Stegostoma tigrinum: one gene and its partner. The protein of the gene in region 1 interacts with the protein of each later gene in a pairwise test. Links are inferred from orthologs where the notes say so. Each region holds a gene or a part of one and is shown in the gene's direction. Other genes may lie near its edges.

Region 1 (10,052 bases):
CTGTTGTAATGCAAGTATGCCCCGTACCTCCTACACAGAGGACAGGTGCCTTTCACGATGACGTCACATGTTGCAGCAAAGTCGAAAATGAAACAAAGAACTGCAGATCATGGAAATTTGAAACAAAAACAGAAATTGCTGGGAAAATTCAGCAGGTCTGCCAGCAACTGTGGACTGAAAGCGGAGTTAACTGTTCTGTTGTTTTTGCAAGAAGTGTGTATCAGGGAATGCAGATTGCGCATTCCTGTTTAGAATGCAGCATCCACAACTGTGTTACAAGATTTGTAATTTAATCGGGTACTTTAGATGACACCAAAAGCATTTGCAAGAAAAGGACAAACTGTTCAAAACAGTTTTCCACGCTTGAGATAATTTACAGCCTTGAATTCATGTTCTGTGTTATTTTGTATAAAAATGTATTTTGTTGTTTAAAAGTTAACTCACAAGGTATGTTTTATTAAATACGGCCAATTTGCCCTGCAAAGAAATGCTAATTTCTTCAGATGCTTGAATGCTGTCCCTAAAATTCACACAAAATGCTGTCTTCCCCATCACCAGCTTACCAGATATCATTATTTCTTCCATTGTGATAATGACCACTTAAACTTGACATTAGCTGTATTGTTTTTGTATAGTGTGACATAGTGCTTAATTCATTTGTAAAGTAAAACAGTATGGTCTTCAATATCATGTGCAGGATAGGAGACTGCAAATACTGTGGTCACCTTGCTTAGGCAGTTTCTTGTCCGCAGCCTAGCTTTTGCTGTGAGGTGTTTACAGTTAAATAGGTAAATTTGAGAGGCTGCGGTTCTCCTTTAGAAGAAAATATTGAGAGGAAATTTGGTAGAGATGAAATGATAAGGGGCTCAGACAGGGTAGAGTGAATCATTGTTGGTAGCCGTGGCTGGGAGCTAGAGGACGCAGACTTAATGATTTCCAAAAGAATTGAGGATCAATCATGATCTAGAACTGAAAGAAAGTATTGCAAGATGCTGCCTGGCTTCCTGTGTTCTTCCAGCCTCCTGTTTCTCTACCTTGAATTCCAGCATCTTTACTTGGAATTAATTTACTTGGAATACTGCGTCCAGTTCTGGGCGCCCTATTATAGGAAAGATGTGGATGCTTTGGAGAGGGTTCAGAGGAGGTTTACCAGGATGCTGCCTGGACTGGAGGGCTTATCTTATGAAGAGAGGTTGACTGAGCTCGGTCTCTTTTCATTGGAGAAAAGGAGGAGGAGAGGGGACCTAATTGAGGTATACAAGATAATGAGAGGCATAGATAGAGTCGATAGCCAGAGACTATTTCCCAGGGCAGAAATGGCTAGCACGAGGGGTCATAGTTTTAAGCTGGTTGGTGGAAAGTATAGAGGGGATGTCAGAGGCAGGTTCTTTACGCAGAGAGTTGTGAGAGCATGGAATGCGTTGCCAGCAGCAGTTGTGGAAGCAAGGTCATTGGGGTCATTTAAGAGACTGCTGGACATGCATATGGTCACAGAAATTTGAGGGTGCATCCATGAGGATCAATGGTCGGCACAACATTGTGGGCTGAAGGGCCTGTTCTGTGCTGTACTGTTCTATGTTCTATGTTCTATGTTCTATTTTAAGGAGTGCCTTTCATGACCACTGTCTCAAATTGGTTGTAAAACACTTAAATTGTTTTTTGAGGTGTAGTCAACCTTGGAATGTATTTGTACGCAGCAAACTCCCCATTTTTTTGTTTAAAGATGCTGGTTGAAGGACTAATATTGGCCACAATGAAATGTCTCTAGATCGTTCTCCATTGCAGCCACCATCAGCACTAGTTGCCTTCTCTAAGAAACCCAGTCTTATCATGACTCTGCTGGGTTGCCTTTACTGGTTTGCCATGTTCGACCCAAAATCATCCAGAAACCTCCTCGAATTGCAACATCACCTGACTCATGGAGCTCCTAGAGGACACCAGAACTGACAACCTGGAAGCATGCAGATGAGAGACTTTTATCATTCTCCATGCACTCTTAACAGCACTCCGACAGGCTGTGTACAGCCTATGTTACATTAAAGCGCTGCTGCCTCAAGCAGGCTGTCCAGTAAACCTGTTCACTGAATGCATTTTTTCCTGCTATTGCAAAACAAGAAACCTGTTTTAACAAACTCAAATGGACTACAGAACTCAGGAATTCAAACATCTTGCATCTTTTAAGGCAACCATAATGTCGATTATTGGTGGGAAACAGTTGACAGGATGGATCATACTCCAGCTGGTGGAAAGACATTTCTGGTTTGTATGATTCTGTACCTTACTTGTGGAAATATGTTTTAGCAGCCGTAGTGCAGTACACGTGGTGTCCCATGTATTGTCTGAGTAAGAACAGTTGAGTTAACATTCACATGTAGTTAACATGTATCCTCCTCTTGTTACAGATATGCCACTCCCCAAAAGCAGCAAGCCACTTCCTGAATGACGAGTCTCACCCCAACATTGAGCTTCATTCAAAATTGAAGCAGACATCAGAACAGTTTATCTGGCTGTAATCTCATTGTTGCTTGTAGAAAGTTGCTGTGCATAAATTGGCTCCCATGTTTCCAAATGTGACTACACTTCAAAAATATTTAATTGGCTGTGAAGTGCATTGGATCATTTTAGAAATCATGAAAGGTGCTGTTTAGATGTAAATTCTCTCTTCACAGATACTGAATAATCTATATCTATTTTCTGTTGTGTACACCAAACAGTGTGAAATGTGTTGACAGTTGTAAATTGTATGCAAGTCCAACAAATGTGTCAAGCAGGTCAGCGTGATATATGCAGTGTGTGGGTGAAGTGAGTTTGAAGTTTTCTGTTTTTTTGTGATGGCTTGCTTCTCGTTTTCAGGCTTCATTGTTGTCCAGTGGAGATCTGAGAAAGCAAGCCAAATGTGTTAGTCTTTTCCTGCCAGTCCGGCCTCGCCATTGCCAAATCTTCAGCTGTGACTTGCGGCAGCACTGAAATTGGTACCAAGCTGAAGCTTGAGAGGAACTCTGAGGTAGTTTAGACCCCATACTGGCATTGTGCAGGCAGACCAGCGTGTGTCATGCTTTGAGCCAAGCTCCCAGCTGTGCGTGAATAGCTTCACTGCCTTATTGGTACCTTGTGAAACCTAAAGGCTTAGGGAATAAACCCTGACACAAATCAAAGGGAGACTAATGTCAAAATCTGAGCAATTTTGCAATCAAGTTGCTGCCAAATGCCCTGCTTTGCCTTTGGACTCGAGCAGATAGATTGGTAAAGGGAACCCTAACTTTTGGGTAGTGAAAGGTATCCAAGTCTAGTCTTCTGCCCTGGCATATGTAGAGCATAAGCATTAGAGACAGCGGCTATAAATCATGAGTCCAACATGAATGGCATAGAAATGGGTTCTATGGGCTCTCTCCACCTGTGGTAAGGATCGTCATTTCTCACTGTTCAGCCAACACCAACTTTGCACAGCCCGTGATTAAGAAGCTTGCTACATCACCTTCAGTTGTTGAATGGATCTTAATCTCTACTCATCAAGCGGATGGATCCAGCATTAAAAGCTTGAAAAGATTTTTTGAAAAAAAGAGGATGTCAAATCTTTGGCAAGCTGGAATGTCAGGACCATTTGCACTCGTTTGACTGTTTGCAGTTGGTGGATAGCTCACAAGACAACCCATAATTGACATGGAAACTTGACTAGAGTCCTGGAATGGGCAATAAGAAACAGAAAGCTTGAAAAGGAGCAAGAGCAATTGTGTGGAAGGGTTAGCCTGGGAAATGGTTGTAGGTGACGTGCTCACCAGGTGTGTATCTTTGGGAGTAGAAGAAACATCGCTAAAATGACACTGATCATGTCATGCAAACTCCGGACACAGGTAGGGGAGCAGCAAGCAGCAAAGTCAAGGAGGGTTGTGGTGAGTGGTGGCCTCTCTGGGACTGGGAGAGGTTATTCCAAATTGGCATCAATTGGGTCTTGCACATTCTGTTGGCCCCAAGGCAAAACATTGCTAAAATGAATGTACTGATGCTAAGTGGGCATACCATTCTTATTAAATCCAGAATGTTAAGCTGAAACATCTTCGTTTACTTGCAACATTTTAAATCCAATTGATTTGGATTACTATGTATGTTACCTTCATTGATCTCATCAGGACATTCAGCCTAATGTGGACTTATCTGTACTCAAGACATAGGAGCAAAATTAAGCCTCTTGGCCCACTGAGTCTGCAGTACCATTCATTCATGAGTGATATGTTTCACAACCTCATTCTCCTGCCATATCCCCATAACATTTAATCCTGTTAATAAACAACAGATCTATCTCTGTTCTGAAATGCACTCAATGACTTGGTCTCCACAGCCTTTTGTGGCAATGAGTTCCACAGATTCCCCACTCTCCGACTGAAGAAATTCTTCCTCATCTCAGTTCTACAGGGTCACCCCTTCACTCTGTGCCCTTGGTTCCTAGTCTCTCCTACTAGTGGAGACATCTTCTCCACGTCCACTCTATCCAGGCCCCCTCGGTATTTTGTATGTTTCAATGAGATCCCACCCATCCTTCTAAACTCCAAGTGCAGTCCAGAGTCCTCAACTGCTTCTCCATTTGACAAGTCCTTCATCCCCAGGATCATTCTTGCAAACTTCCTCTAGACCACCTCCCAGACTGGCACACCTTAGACACAGACCCAGTACTGCTCACAATATTCCAAATTTGGTGTGACCCCCATAGCCTCATACAGACTTGGCAGTACATCTCTGCTCTTGTATTCAAGCCCTCGCAAAATAAATACAAACATTGCTTTTGCCTTCCTGCTTGTCAAACTCAACCTGTATGTTAATATTAAGAGAATACTAAGCTAGGACTCCCAACTAGGGCTGCTGCAGATTTCCAAAGCTTTTCCCCAGTTAGAAAAATAGTTTATACCTTTATTCTTACCAAAGTGCATAATCTCATATTTTCTCATGTTGTATTCCATCAGCCAAGTCTTTGACATCGTGTTTAATCTGTTCAAGTCCTTCCGCAGCCGCACTGCCTGATCCTCCACGTGTTTCAGTGGAGAAAACTTGAGCAATTTCAACAGTAAAACAATGTGATAATGTCTTGTTCGTGACAGCTAAGAGCTTCATCAGAACTCTTCTGAGGTCCGCAGTAGGGTCAGACATTGTTCCATTCAGGTATGTTCTTTCTCTGTGCTGCTGTGTTTAAGCATCCAATCATCTAGAGGATGCTTACTTGTCTAACAAAATGGCAGAAATATTTTCAATCTCTTTTACCTAAGGTGCACCAATGTCGGTCAATACTCATCCAAATGAGCATTCTAAATTAAACAAAACCTTCAGTGGCAAATGGATTGTGTGTCTCGTGTCAGTAAAGAGTTTGATTTGACCATTAATTTCAAGAAGACAAATGTCATTCTCAAGGATGCTGTCACACTGCTATCAGTCAGCACTGATGATGTGACAGTGGAGTTTTGAGATTTGTTGATATTTCACATAGCTAGGTTCCACGATTACCAGCAATCTGCCATTGTATGCTGAAATCAACATGCAACATTGCAAAATCTGCAATTTTGCCTGAGCTGTGTAAGAGTATGGAAAAGTTTGAGGACTGCATACGTCAAATTTATCAGGTTGTATCCTCCATGTACAGATGAATACTGGGAGATCAGGGCAACAAATGCTATTCAAGTGACAAAGTCTAAACCATTTCTCCCGTCATTGTCACAAATACATTCTTGGCAAGACAAGATTACAACTTGGAGACCCTGGAGTATACTACTTTCATCAGAATGTACCCATTGCTAAGCCAGTGACATCTGAATGTGGCTTGGCTGGTGCATCAAAGGGCTGGCAGTCATACACCAAAAACCCTTTTGTGCAGTGAACTGGCCAAGAGGTTAGAATCTCCTGGGTTTCTTTACTTCTATCCTGCTTGAAAATGTCTTAATAAAAATATAGTAGACATTCTCAGCTATGAGGAAGTCACTGATGACCATGATCATGACCTTTCACAGAGACTGAAGGATGACTCAATCAGAAACTGAAAGCTGAACAAGTTGAGAAGAGAGCCCAGAGAAAGTCAAGGCTAGCCAAACATGGGTCCTTCAGCTACTCTGCAGCAAATGCCGTGCCTGAATGCAGCCCAGAGTCACACCAGAGTTGCTTAGTACGCAGCTGACCATCAAGGTACTGTCCACTTCCTTAAATGTATGTATGTATGTCTGCAAAATGAAGGAGCTGGTCATCAACTTCAGGAAGGGGAGTGGAGAGCAGCCCCTATCTGAATCAGTGATGCCGAGGTGAAGATGATAGAGAGTTCCTGGGAGTAAATATTCTCAACAATCTGTCCTGGTCCACCCACATTGATGCTACAGTCAAGAAAGCACACTAATGCCTCTAATTCCTCGGAACACGAAGGAACTCCGGCATGTCTACAGTGACTCTTACCAATTTTTATAGATGCACCATAGAATGCATCCTTTCCACATGTATCACAGCTCGGTACAGCAACTGCTTTGTCCAAGACTGCAAATTACAGAGAGTTGTGAATGCAGCCCTGTCCATCATCCAACCAGCATTCCTACCATTGACCCTGTCTATACTTTGGGCTGCCTTGGGAAAACAGCCAACATCATCACAGATCCTTCCCACCCCGCTTATACTCTCTTCCTCCCTCTTCTGTCAGGCAGAAGATACAAAAGTTTGAAAACATATACCAACAGGTTCAAGAACAGTTTCTTCCCCGCTGTTATCAGACTTACTAATGGATCCCTCATACATTAGTGTCGATCTTTCTCTGGAGCCATAACCCAAACTCTGCATTCTGTTCTATCACCCTGATGTACAGTATGAATTGCCTGGATCGCAAACAAAACAAAACTGAGTCATAGAGCCCTACAGCACAGAGACAGGCCCTTTGGCCCAAACTGGTCCATGACGACCAAAATGTCCATCCATGCTAACCCCATTTTCCTGCACGTGACCCATATCTTTTTAAACTTTCCCTTTCCGTGTATTCGTCTAAATGCCTTTTAAATGTTGTTACTGTACCTGCCTTAACCACTTCCTCTGGCAGGTGATCCCATATGCGTACCACCCTCTGTGTAAAAAAAAAAGTTGCCCCTCCAGTTCCCCTGTATTCATTCCCCTCTTACCTTAAACTGAGGCCCTCTAGTCCTCGATTTCCACAACCCTGGGAAAAAGACTGAATGCATTCACCTTATCCATGCCTCTCTTAGACTTCTTTGAGATTTGCCCCCTCAGTCTTCTATGCTGTAAAGAAAACAGTCCTAGCTTGTCCAGCCTCTCTGTACAACTCAGTTCTGGCAACATCCATGTAAGTTTCTTTTGCACTCTTTCCAGTTTATAATATCCTTCCTATAGCATGGAGGCCAGACTGAGTAGGGATGGCAGTTTCCTTCCCTAAAGGACATTAGTGAACCAGATGGGCTTTTCCTGACAATCGACAATGGATTCACAATCATCATTAGACTCTTCATTCCAGATATTTATTGACTTCAAATTGCACCAGTTGCCGTGGCAGGATTTGAACCTGAGTCCCTAAATGTTATCTGGGGCTCTGAATTAACAGCCCAGTGATAATGCCACTAGGCCATCACCTCATTTTTCACTGAATGTCAACACATGTAACAATAGTAAATCAAATCAAGTCGATTTATAGCTATTTCAGATTAGTAATGTTGAATGTGGGTTTTATAGGCTGACTACCATAAGAATAAAATTCAAGTACTTTATTGCTTCTGTCAGGAAAGCTTGGATATTCACTTTCACCAAAGTGACTTCCGTTATGTCCCTTGCTCCTGAGGGAGCTGATGCTGGCTCCATAATGCTTTAAGTATCCTGCCCGAATACTCTGTTCTTAATCATCAACTTGTGAAGTGAGTTTCACAGTGCAGTGCCTTAAAACCAAGTGTAGTTCTGTTCTGAGCAGTTTGATAGCTAATTCTTTTCTAGCAGAAATGTGAATAGAAACCCTGGGGACTGAAGTTCAGTTGCTAAGTTGTTGCAGTTCAGCCGACTCCCAGCTGGAACCTCCTAACACGAGCAGTGCTTACCCCTGTCAAAGTGGCCATTCTAATAAAGATAAACATAAAGAAATTGTAAATGTTTTAATCCACCGACATCCATTGTTACCTATTGAAATTATGCTTGAATATGATATTGAAAGTTATACAGGGGTTTCTGCTGTAATGTGTGTTCTGACAGAGCGAATTGGCTATAACGCGACTGATGAATAAGGGAATGCTGTTTCTAAAATGTGATCTTCGTATTGGCTATAATGTGATTCCATGGAGTATGCGTCAACATCGTGTGGTTGTTTTGCGGGCTTTGTGCTGAGCATGCGCAGTGTTAGCGCTGAAAGAGTCTCCGTGCCAGCATCACGTGGTCATCAGCGCTCCCTGCGAGTACAGCACTCTGGTTTTATTTTTGCTAATTCTGCCGTGTTACCCACAAAAATGTGAGGATAAAGTGATAAGAATGTTAGTAAGAAGCAACCAGGTGATGAAAGCCAATCCCCAAGAAACAGTCAGAAGACAATGAACCACAGCCAAATACTTGTGGATTAACTGTTTGTTTTGCTGTAACCCTGCACCACAACTGCACTTGAAGATAATGATGATGATGATGATGACAACCCTTAGGCTCTGTATTAACAACACTGCAACCTCAAAACCACCCCTCCCATCAAGACATCTTGACATTTTTTTCAAGACAAGGTATTAAATTTCCTTTTATTTCATTATTCAATACAAATTAAACATTTATTCAAGCTGTGCTATCCTTTGTGTTGTGATTGTTGAGTGATACCTTTTGGTGGTCTGCCCTACACCCACTTTTCCCAGTGCGCAATTTTCTATAACACGATGTTGCGCAAGAATGCAACTGTCGTATTCTAGCAGAAGCCCCTGTATCAGGAATTAGCTTAAAGGGATAATAGAATCCTTAACAATGAAAACTATGACTTTTTTAATGCAACACATTTTATTTGTAATTGAAATTGTGCAGCTTAGAATGCTTATAATGCTTTTCATGTGCTCATGATATCCCCCAAATTCTTTTGAGCCAGTGAATTATCTGAGAGATTGTTTTGCAGGCAGATGGCTGGGCTGTTTATGCACCGTGAGGTAGTGATGAGATAAATGATCACTTATTGCATTTTGGCTTGTGTTGGTTGAGAAATAAATGTTTCTAAAATGCCATGAATCGCCTCCCCTTCTTTGAGTAGTGCCAAGGAGCCTGTTGAACAAGCATGGGAAACCTGGGTTTGCCATCTCATTGAATGGCAGCAGCTCCAACAATTCGGCATCAACCTGTTGGACTAAATGATCCTGTAAGGACCCCAGAAGGGGGATCAAATCCAACACTACTTTATACAGACATGTATTCTAGTATTTAACCAATGACAGTTGATATAGGCAAAGCTATTTCTCATTGAGATTTTTTTGTGGTGTGACAAATGACCACCGAGTGCCAGTTCATGTTTTGTTCTAATTCGCTTTTGAAAGGCTTTCACATATTTATGGATATTAATTTCACATTGATTTTTGTTTTTCCTTAATGTCCCATTTTAAACCTCATGGATCGTTATTGTGGAGGTTTGCATTATGGAGACATTTCATGTATAATATTCCAGTATCAATTTTTTTTAATATATTCTCTGTAAATAACATAGCCTGAGGAGTCTATTAGTTCCAGCTGTGTATTGATGTGTGCAGTTTCTTAGGAGCAAAAAATATCTTCTGTCATAGATTTTAATTTCAAATATTGGTGCTAATGACATCAATTCTTGTGGCTCAGATGCTATTACAAGTATTTAACAAGACCATAATCTTGTGTCATTGTGACAACTGTGTAACAACTAGCTTTCAGATATCCAGCCATTATAATTAGCTATTTTACAAAATAATTTCTACAATGCTCAGCGGACAATTTTTTTTCCTCTCACCCTGAAAAGCATTGCTAGCAACACAATGCACACATATTACAATTGTTGTACAAATGTGTTCGATCCATGAAAATTATCTGTGCTAGTATTGTGAGATAACAAGATGCAG
Region 2 (10,397 bases), on another chromosome or scaffold:
AGTCAGTGCAGAAATGAAAGAATAACCAGGATGAATATGTGGCTTGAGAGATGGTGTAGGAGGGACGGGTTCAGATTTTTGGGACATTGGAACCGCTTCTGGGGAAGATGGGACTATTACAAATTGGATGATCTACACCTGAGCCGGACTGGAACCAATGTCCTTGGGGGTGCTTTTGCTAATGCTGTGGGGGATGGTTTAAACTAATGTGGCAGGGGGATGGGAACCAAACATTGGACAGAAAAGAGGTAGTAACGAAAGCCTGTAGGGAACTAGATAATGGAGTCCGTGTGACTAAAGGGAATATTAGTCGGGGAGCAGATGATGAACACAAAGGGATAGGTGGTCTGAGGTGCATCGTTTTAATGCGAGAAGTGTAGTAGATAAGGCAGATGGTAGATAAGGATCAATGGTCGGCACAACATTGTGGGCTGAAGGGCCTGTTCTGTGCTGTACTGTTCTATGTTCTATGTTCTAACATGGCTGAATAACTGGGGTTTTGTCATACATCTACTGTTTGCCAGTTCTGGTGGTCGTTAGTATGAAACCTGTAACAAAAGAGGTTACAATTTTTGACTATCCCATTTCTAAACTCAGTGGACAAATTTTGCGAGGGCCTCATCTCCTCTTACCATAGGTGACCAACAATTTTTGTGTCCGTCAAAATGAAGGAACTGGCTGGGAGCAGGTTTTCAATGAATTCTGTTCCGGTTTAATTTGCAAGCCCTTTTCAATTCTATATCGTGGGTAACAAAATTTTTGCACAGCGATAAGTCGAATATATTTACACTTTGCATTGAGGTGATCAAACTTGTTAAATATACAGATCATTCTATTTGTTTATACCTGTACAAGGGCAATGTGGCCAAAGTGGATACTGTACCCGGTGTGGCTTCCTCTACATTGGGGAAACCAAGCAGAGGCTTTGTTACCGCTTTGCAGAACACCTCTGCTCAGTTCGCAACAAACTACTGCACCTCCCAGTCGCAAACCATTTCCACTCCCCCTCCCATTCTTTAGATGACATGTTCATCATGGGCCTCCTGCAGTGCCACAATGATGCCACCCGAAGGTTGCAGGAACAGCAACTCATATTCCGCTTGGGAACCCTGCAGCCTAATGGTATCAATGTGGACTTCACCAGTTTCAAAATCTCCCCTTCCCCCACTGCATCCCAAAACCTGCCCAGTTCATCCCCTCCCCCCACTGCACCACACAACCAGCCCAGCTCTTGCCCTCCACCCACTGCATCCCAAAACCAGTCCAACCTGTCTCTGCCTCCCTAACCTGTTCTTCCTCTCACCCATCCCTTCCTCCCACCCCAAGCCGCACCCCCATCTACCTACTAACCTCATCCCACCTCCTTGACCTGTCCGTCTTCCCTGGACTGACCTACCTCCCCACCTATACTCTCTCCACCCATCTTCTTTTCTCTCCATCTTCGGTCCGCCTCCCCCTCTCTCCCTATTTATTCCAGAACCCTCACCCCATCCCCCTCTCTGATGAAGGGTCTAGGCCCGAAACGTCAGCTTTTGTGCTCCTGAGACGCTGCTGGGCCTGCTGTGTTCAGCTAGCCTCACATTTTGTTGTCTTGGATTCTCCAGCATCTGCAGTTCCCATTATCACTGTTGATCGTACTGTTGCCTCACAGTGCCAGGGTCCCAGGTTTGATTCCAGCCTTAGGCTACTGTCTGTGCAGATTTTGCACGTTCTTCCTGTGTCTGCTGGGGTTTCTGTCCAGTGCTCCAGTTTCTTCTCACAGTGCAAAGATGTGCAAGTTAGGTGGTTTGGCCTTGGTAAATTGACCAGTAGTGTCCAGGGATGTGCAGGCTAATTAATGCAGGGTCACAGGGATAAGGTGGGATGCTCCTTGGAGAGCTGGTGTGGACTTGATGGTCCAAATGGCTTCTTTTTATACTGCAGGAATTCTATCTTTCTATGAAGTACTACAGCAAATACCAAGCACCATTGCAAAGAGACAGTTACAGTCTGTCCTGCTATTTCACTCTAAGGTTGGTGGAATACAGTTAATTCCAGTAACCATTAAATAATTGAAATTAAGACAGATCCAAGGTTATGTATTTGCAATTGCTCCAATTTTTACATTTATTTCACTTTCTCCCTGCTGCTACAGGTTTCCTTGGGATACACACATTCTTCTAAATGACAGGATGTTCGACACCCTTGATGATCTGAAACATCAACAACTAATTTAATACCTCTGAGGATGCAGTCTATGTGATACATAGACAGATGGTCAAATATTCATGGAATCACTTACACTGGTTACATCTGTCTTTTCCTCATAGGAGACTGGCATGATGAGGCCAAGAATGGTTAATTGATCTACACAATCCCCTAACACGGTGCCAATGCGAAGAATATCCCCCTGCGAAAGTGGTTGTATTTCCTCAGCCTCTCTTTTTTAAAAAAAAAACAAGAAGGAAAACAGGTTATACTGTATTTAAGCAAGGATTTGATTGCATCTCATATTCTGCCTCGTGACCCTGCAACCTTCAGAACTCAATATTGAGTCCTGTGAAAACATGAAAACAATCAACCAATGAATAATTTTAGGGCCTGAACACCTTATTCCACCCCCACACACCAGGCCTCGTCATCATGAGTTGCTGTCACCATAGCTAATGCATTTTCACTCACTAATGGTGCCCCTTAGCAGCTTTTCCTTCTCTCCAGCTAGCCAACCTTTCTTTTGTCTGTCCAACTGCTGTTTTTTTTTTCTCTATGGGCTCCATTTCCAATTACATCCATTCCTGTTTAGCAAGATTAGATGACATGGAATCCAGGGAGAGCTAGCCATCTGGAATCAAAACTGGTTTGAAGGTAGGAGACAGCGGGTGGTGGTCGAGAGTTGCTGTTATGACTGGCAGCCTATGACCAGCTATCTGCTGCAAGGACTGGTACTGAGTCTGCTGCTTTTTGTCATTTTATATAAATGATTTGCATGTGAATATAGAAGGAATGGTTAGGAAGTTTGCAGATGATATTAAAACTGGTGATGCAGTAGATAATGAAGAAGATTATCTCAGAGTACAACAGGACCTTGATCAGGTAGGCCAATGGGCCAAGGAATGGCGGATGCAGTTTAGTTTAAATAATTGTTCCATTTTGGTAAGGCAAATCAGTGTAGGACTTATATATTTAATGGTAAGGTCCTAGGGAGTGTTACCAAACAAAGGACCTTGGAGTGTGCATTCATAGTTCGTTTCAAAGTGGAGTCATAGGCAGATAGAGAATGAAGAAGTCGTTTGGTATGCTTGCTTTTATTGCTCAGTGCACTGAGTATAGGAGTTGAGATTCATGTTGTGGTTGTACAGGACATTAGTTAGGCAACTTTTGAAATACTACGTTCAATTCTCATCTCGCTTCTATAGGCAAGATGTTGTTAAACTTGAAAGGGCACAGAAAAGCTTTACAAGCATATTACTGGTGTTGGGCAGTTTGAACTATAGGGTGAGGGTGAATTGGCTGGGGCTATTTTCCCTGGAGCATCTCAGGCTGAGGGGTATCATAATAGAGGTACATAAAAGCATGATGGGCATAGTTAGGTGAATGGCCAAGGTTTTGATAGGGGAGGGGAGTCCAAAACTTGACAGCATAGGTTTAAAGTGAGAGGGGAAAGATTTAAAAGGGACCTAAGTAGCACCTTTTTCATGCAGAGTGGTGTGTGTATGGAATGAGCTGCCAGATGAAGTGTTGGAGGCTAGTACAATTACATCAGTTAAAAGGCATCTGGATTGGTAGATAAATAGGAAGGGTTTACAAGGATATGGCCAAATGCTGGCAGATGGGAGTAGATTAATTTAGGATGTCTGATCAGCATGGGCAAGTTGGACTGAAGGGTCTGTTTCCATGCTGTACAACTCTATTAAAAAATCTTGATGACTTTCATCTGCTCCTTTAATTCATGGTGAAGAAGAATACGGTTCCTGATAGTAAGTGTGATCAGATTTACTTCGGACAGATTTAGTTCCAGAACTACATATTAGGTGAGTCTATGCCTAATATGTCAACCAATTGGTAAGTAGGAAGGTCACTGCCATTTTAAGTGGCTCATAAGCATAATTGGTAAGTAAGCAATGATTTCAAAATTGTAATATCACGCTTGTGAATGTCATATTTTTGGAGGATAAATTGTACAAGGTGGTATATTTTGAGACTGTATGCAAGTGTGTATATGCATGTTTTTAATATTGTAGAGAATAAACCGTATATTTCCGATCCGTTTTAAAATCTCTTTCCTTACATCTCTCTTGTGGAGAATGAATGGGACACTTGTGATCTTTTTTAGAATTGTTTTCCTTGCATCTCTCGAGTGTGAGAATATAACATTTATGTAGGAATTCCTTTGATTCATGAGATACAAAATTTGGAAAGGAGCAAATCCTGGTCCTTGATTAGTCATGAAAATGTAAGATTAATGCTAATAGCTATGTTAAAATTTCTGCAAGCTGTGAAATCCAACTTTGTTTTTGCAATTGTACGGAATGATCAAATAAAACAGTGCTACCTCAAAGGATAGTCATTAAACTGTACCCAAAGGTTGGTTAATCTCATTTGAAATATTTGGCTCAAATGAAATTCTGTGGTTTTGTTATCTTTTTTAAAATATTAATCCAGTTAAAATAGAATCAGACTAATGGACTGAAGAGTTAATATTTCAAAACTTAAGAATTAAGGTCAACAGTGTATATAATAAATAGCTACTAGTTTTTAAGATATCCTTCATTACACCTAAATGTACCAGATCTTAAAAGTGATAATAATGGAAATCTCGTTTTGCTATTGATTAGTATAAACAGGTTTCCGTTACTAAGTTATGCCAAGGTGCGGTAATAATGCAATAGCTTGGACTTTGGTCAATGGCAGTTTTGCAAAAGAGTAAAAATGTTGTCAAATTGGTTCCAAGTGTTTGAGTTTTTTAACCCTGAGCAAATCTTTTGGGAATGGGTTGAAAAACTGTAATCTAAGAAATTCAAAATAAATTCTTGTGATAATGCAGTGGTAACAGTAATGAATGTTTAACCAAAAGTCAACATTCAGAATTCTAACTTACAATTTTCTTTAAAAAATTGCTTTTCTTATTCTGGTTTAAGTAAGTTTGTTGATAACAACAAAATTGGACAGTGAAGAAAGTTATCTCAGTACAAAGGGACCTTAATCACGTGGGCTGAGGAGTGGCAGATAGAGTTTAAATAAATTGAGGTGTTCCATTTTGGTAAGGCAATCAGGGTAAATGTTCATAGTTCCTTGCAAGTGGAGTCACAGGTAGATAGGGTAGTGACGAAGGGATTTGGTACACTTGTATTTGTTGATCAGTGCATTGTGTATAGTAGCTGGGATATCATGTTGCAGTCGTACAGGACATCGGTTAGGCCACTTTCGGAATACTGTGTTCAGGAAAGGTGTTGTGAAACTTGAAAGGATTCAGAAAAGATTTATAAGAACGTTGAAGAGTTTGAGCTATAGGGAGAGGCTGAATAGGCTGGGACTATTTTCCATGCAGAGTCAAAGACTGATCTTATAGAGGTTTACACAATCATGAGGGGCACAGATAGGGTGACTAGCCAAGGTCTTTTTTTCCCCAGGGTAAGGGAGTGCAAACCATAGAGCATAAGTTTAAAAGGACCTAAGAGGCAACTTTTTCCGCAGGGAGGGCAGTGCCTGTATGGAATGAGCAGCCACAGGGAGTCAATTGGCTGTTATATGAATAGAAACGGTTTAGAGGGATATGGGCCAAGTGGGACTAAATTAACTTAGAATATCTGGTTGACATGGACAAGTTGGACCGAAGGGTCTGTTTCCATGCTATACAACTCTGTGTTGTATTGACTTGTCCCCCCGTCCTCTCGCCCTCCTTTCCAGCAATGTGTGTTTGCCGTCAACCGTTTTCTTCATAGATCATAGATAACTGCATATAAATCGTCTCTCAGACGAACTCACCCTTTTTTGTCATGATTTGTAGTCGATGGAGAATCACTTTTGGGAAAGTTACAAAGATCCTCTCTATTCACTCCGGTCGTATACATGATTGCCTGTTACCGTGGAAACACTTCGGGGCTTACACTGACTGAGCTGTCCACGGCGTTGCCTTGCAGTCAAGTTCATCACTACAAAGCAAATGCATTACGACATTCATGAGTCTGAGCATGTATAAATATTTAAACATGCTTTTAAAATAAATTTCCACCTATTTTTTGAATAAATTAGTTCTAGGATTGAATTTTTTTATCCGTGAAATTGGCCAAGTTTAGTTGTTTTTATAACTGTAGCTTTTAAAAAAATATTTGTTTTAGTTTATTATTTGGTCCAATATATTGTCTGGTTCGGTTTGGGCGAATTGGCCGCTTCCGTCAGTTCATTTCCCGGCCTGCCTTGCTGCAGCCTCTTCGTCCATCTTGGTAGCAGGGCCGGCGGTGAGTTAGAGATATGCTCGTTTCTAACAGCTATTTAACTGTTGTTGATGATATAATGGAACCTCATCGTAGAAGTATCTGTTGTATAATATAGTGAGATTTAGATATTTATTATCTGAGAGAGTTTATGTCAGCGGATGTTTGCGATAGCGAACGGATTGTACTTGGTGTTGACTGTCCTCCTGTCTTTTTCTCAGATCCAGCTGCCCCGAGCGCGCTCGCAATGCCCGGAAGGTAAGAGCTGGTCCTGGGGGCCGCGCACACTTAGGCTGGGGCAGCTTCTTAGAAGCGCCTGATTGGGTATATCATCAAGGGGCTGTGGGTAGAATACCGGGGCCCTTCTGCAAACGTGTTCGTTTTTCTTCTGATGCCTGTTAATATGGATTATCGTTTCGGCTAGTGGTTTAGAGTCAACAGGCCTATCCAGTTCTCGTATATCTACTCACCCTCGCATTGCATCCCTCATTCTCTTGTTCAAAGTATATCCTCGTGCGTTTGATTCAGTGATATCCATGGCGCGCTGTAAAATTAAATGAGATTTTTCAACTAAGTGACTAGTACTCTCCGGGAGATAATGAACGAATTTCAGATCTGGCCTGGTTTTTTTTCCGACAAAGAGAATCTTCTGCAATAGAAATCAATAGAAAAGTCTGGAAATGCACTGGGCTGACATCCGAAATAATAGATAAATATTTTGCCTGAGATTGTTCAATGGAGCCTTAATTACAAAAACAAACGACCGGACCCGAGAAATACCAAATAAAACAGTAAATGCTGTAAAAACACATCCGGAAGCTTCTGTGGAGACAAGCAGTTAACATTCCTGATCAAGTGATCTTCCATCTGAACTCTTCTAATTTATCTATCTGGAATTCTTTGACTTAATGTCTTTTTCATTTTATATTGAAAAGTTAATCATTTATTTGAGCTTCTGTGTAAAATACAAAGCTCATTTTGTATCTTATTCTGCAGATTGTGGTGTAAAGCTGTGTTTACAGGCTATAAACGAGGCCTTCGAAACCAGAGAGAGCACACTGCTCTACTGAAGATTGAGGGTGTTTATTGCCGCAATGAAACAGATTTTTACCTGGGCAAGAGATGCGCTTATGTCTACAAGGCAAAGAAGTACGTATGCATCACTGTGAATTGCATATGCTATATTCCTTTGACTGATTTGTAATGTTTGTTGTACAATCATTGTTGGAAAAATGGGGTTGTTTGAATTCACTTGCTATGTTTGACTTTACTTGCATGAAAGTTTTGCGGTATCTGGTACCATATGTGTTTGTTCCAGTGAATTGTCGTTATGGTAGAATTAGCATCTTAGTTTGTGTAGTATTTAACAGAAGACCAAAATTTATTACCTGCTTCATATTAGTCTTTTAGAAGTTGACCAGATTTAAATGTATGCTCGTTTAAAATACATCCTTATAAATGTATCAGGTTTACTGTAGATCTCACCTTGAATCTGTTCTTGATAGTTATTGAATTCATTAACTTTCAACTAGCTGATAATGGAAAAACTCCACCATTTGTTTATGGTTGGCAGTATGATCTTAATGCTCCATGTTGTGTTTTTGTTTTTGACCGCAGCATTGTTTATGGATTTTTCATTTTTAAAAGTGCTATGCAGCTGTATGTGCACTCTAATTTTATCTGAGTTGCTTGGTACATTTTTGCTGTCCTGGAAGGGGGTGATAAGGAAAGAAAGAGAATGATTATTATCTGAGATTGTTGAATCCATGTGGCTGAGTTTTGTTTTTGGATTTATCTTTGGTTATGTAATTTTACTTCTCAAACTCTTCTGAAGGCTACATTAGAAACCCACTAAATGATAACATCTAGCTGGGTAGTAGTTCACTGTTGCAACAATGGCTCTTTGCTTCACTGGTTTCCACTTGAGAAAGCATTGTTCACCTTTGTTTTTAAATGTAATTTTCTTTTTCTTTTTGAAGTAACACTGTGACTCCTGGTGGTAAACCAAACAAGACTCGTGTCATTTGGGGTAAAGTAACCCGTGCTCATGGAAACAGTGGCATGGTGCGTGCAAAGTTCAGCAGTAACCTGCCTGCTAAAGCTATTGGGCATAGAATTCGTGTGGTGAGTGCCAGAATCAATCTTTTTCAGATGCTGATTTTATTATATTTGATCTTCCAATATTGAACAAATCCTCATGGTGGCCTGGGCATCTAGAGGTTTATTGGCTGTGTTTAGTGTGTATATTATAGTGATCAAAATTCTCCTTTCATCACAGAGTTTGAGCTGCTTGTGTTACCGTTCAGCAGCTTGATTATGTTCTAAAATATGTTTTTGTCTGTTTTAAAATAACTCAAGTTATTCAACAGTCTGTACCATTTGTTTCACTTGGAGCACGTCATCATCAAATTTAAATGTGTATTGCTTCAGATATCTTTGACAGATGACACTGAATTGTCCCGTCAGGGATAGCATTTTTTTTCTGCAATGGCTTATTAGAAAATACTGAAATAAATAATTTTTGTGAAGGCTGACCACCATTGCTGAATTGTTTATTTTCCAAGCTAGTTGGTATTTAGATGATTTACAATGTGAGGTTTTTAAAAAAATGCTTTGTTTTTTTTTTGCAGTCTCTTTAGATACTCAAGTCATTTTTGGCGCAGCTAAGTTTGGTACAATCTTGACTGCAGTATGTTTGAACAAACCTAGCACAATTTACTGGTTTTGGCTTGAGGCAATCATTGATTTTTTTTTGGAAAAAACCCAACTGTGAGGGAGTTTGTTTGCTTGTAGTCAAGCTGTATCTGTTCAGTTGCACAAAACTTACAGACATTACAAAATCATGGAAATAAAATGGCTAGTGATGACACCAAAGAGAGTAGTAGCTGGGCAAATGTGTTTCTCCACATATGCACAGCTTAAATGTATTGTGACTCATTTGATGGAAATAGTAAGCTGTTTGTGGATGGTTCATTTTATTTATTCACCTTTGATTTTTTTTTAAATTTCCAGATGCTGTACCCATCAAGGATCTAAAGTGCAGCTGTACATAAATTGACAATAAATAGTGAAATGATTTAAATTGCTTGGTTTTGTGTTCTTACTTGTGTATGTAAATGATCGTGGAACAAATTCTTAGTGAAATACAAATTGCATGACCATTTTACAAATCTGTATGATGTGACTGATGTTTATTACTAAACAGTTTTGTACCATTCATGAAATCTGCAATGGATCTGTTTAGCCTTATCCTTCCCTTGGTTTAACTCAGTGCCTTCGGTGTGTGATATTTGTTTAAAGTTTTTATATGGAAACAACTGATCAAACTCATTCTTGCAGAAATAAAACTGATTTTGATTGGGAGAATGAAGAGAAAAATACCAGCTAACTTCTCCGAATTTGGAGTATTGCATGTAGTTGGTGGAAGAAATTTTTACCAAGCTTGGGATCCCAAACGTTTTGAGGTAAAAGAGGATGAGCCGGGAAAGTATGCTATGACCATGAATACTAGTTCAGCACCAGTTGGAATATGCCCATTTGTGCACATGCTACCTTAAGTATGCTTTTACTTTCCTAAAATGTTCAGAAGAAATTAGCTAAAAAGGTTCTAGAGATGAGGATTACAGTTGTGTGGGATTGCATAAATGAGGAAAAAATTGGATAATTTGTATCGGTAACTTCAGTGCATGGATTTAAGCTGCCTGATAAGACAGCTACAGGTGACTTGAGGATAAACTTTTATGCAACACTTTAGTTGTAATTTGGATTGCAGTCTTCTGTGAATACAGATGCAGTAGTAGCTTGAAGAGGGAATTGGATATATACCTGGATTAAAAATTGCAGTGTTGTGAGAAAATTGGATAAAATTTAGAGTGCTATGCATAGACTTGATTAGTCATAACTTCTTGTGCTATTCTATGGATAACTATTGGAAAGCTTCTATTACCTTGTGTTGAAGACACAGAATTTAGGAAAGAGCATTAA

The links.
Region 2: the proteins of sh3gl3a (region 1) and rpl35a interact in a two-hybrid assay, tested with the Homo sapiens proteins (2 studies listed by BioGRID and IntAct). The link is inferred for Stegostoma tigrinum from reciprocal best matches to the Homo sapiens genes SH3GL3 and RPL35A.

The regions. Positions count from the first base shown.
Region 1 is NC_081386.1:7,601,718-7,611,769, reverse strand, and holds the start of sh3gl3a (endophilin-A3a), read left to right. Parts: upstream 1-6,010; 5' UTR 6,011-6,111; coding exon 6,112-6,162; intron 6,163-10,052. UniProt on the Homo sapiens protein: Implicated in endocytosis. May recruit other proteins to membranes with high curvature.
Region 2 is NC_081367.1:48,545,800-48,556,196, reverse strand, and holds rpl35a (60S ribosomal protein L35a), read left to right. Parts: upstream 1-6,348; 5' UTR 6,349-6,437; intron 6,438-6,634; 5' UTR 6,635-6,660; coding exon 6,661-6,671; intron 6,672-6,883; exon of another isoform or gene 6,884-6,957; intron 6,958-7,409; coding exon 7,410-7,562; intron 7,563-8,392; coding exon 8,393-8,537; intron 8,538-9,425; coding exon 9,426-9,449; 3' UTR 9,450-9,495; downstream 9,496-10,397. Other genes in the region: iqcg (dynein regulatory complex protein 9), read right to left, coding at 2,282-2,420, 5,965-6,050.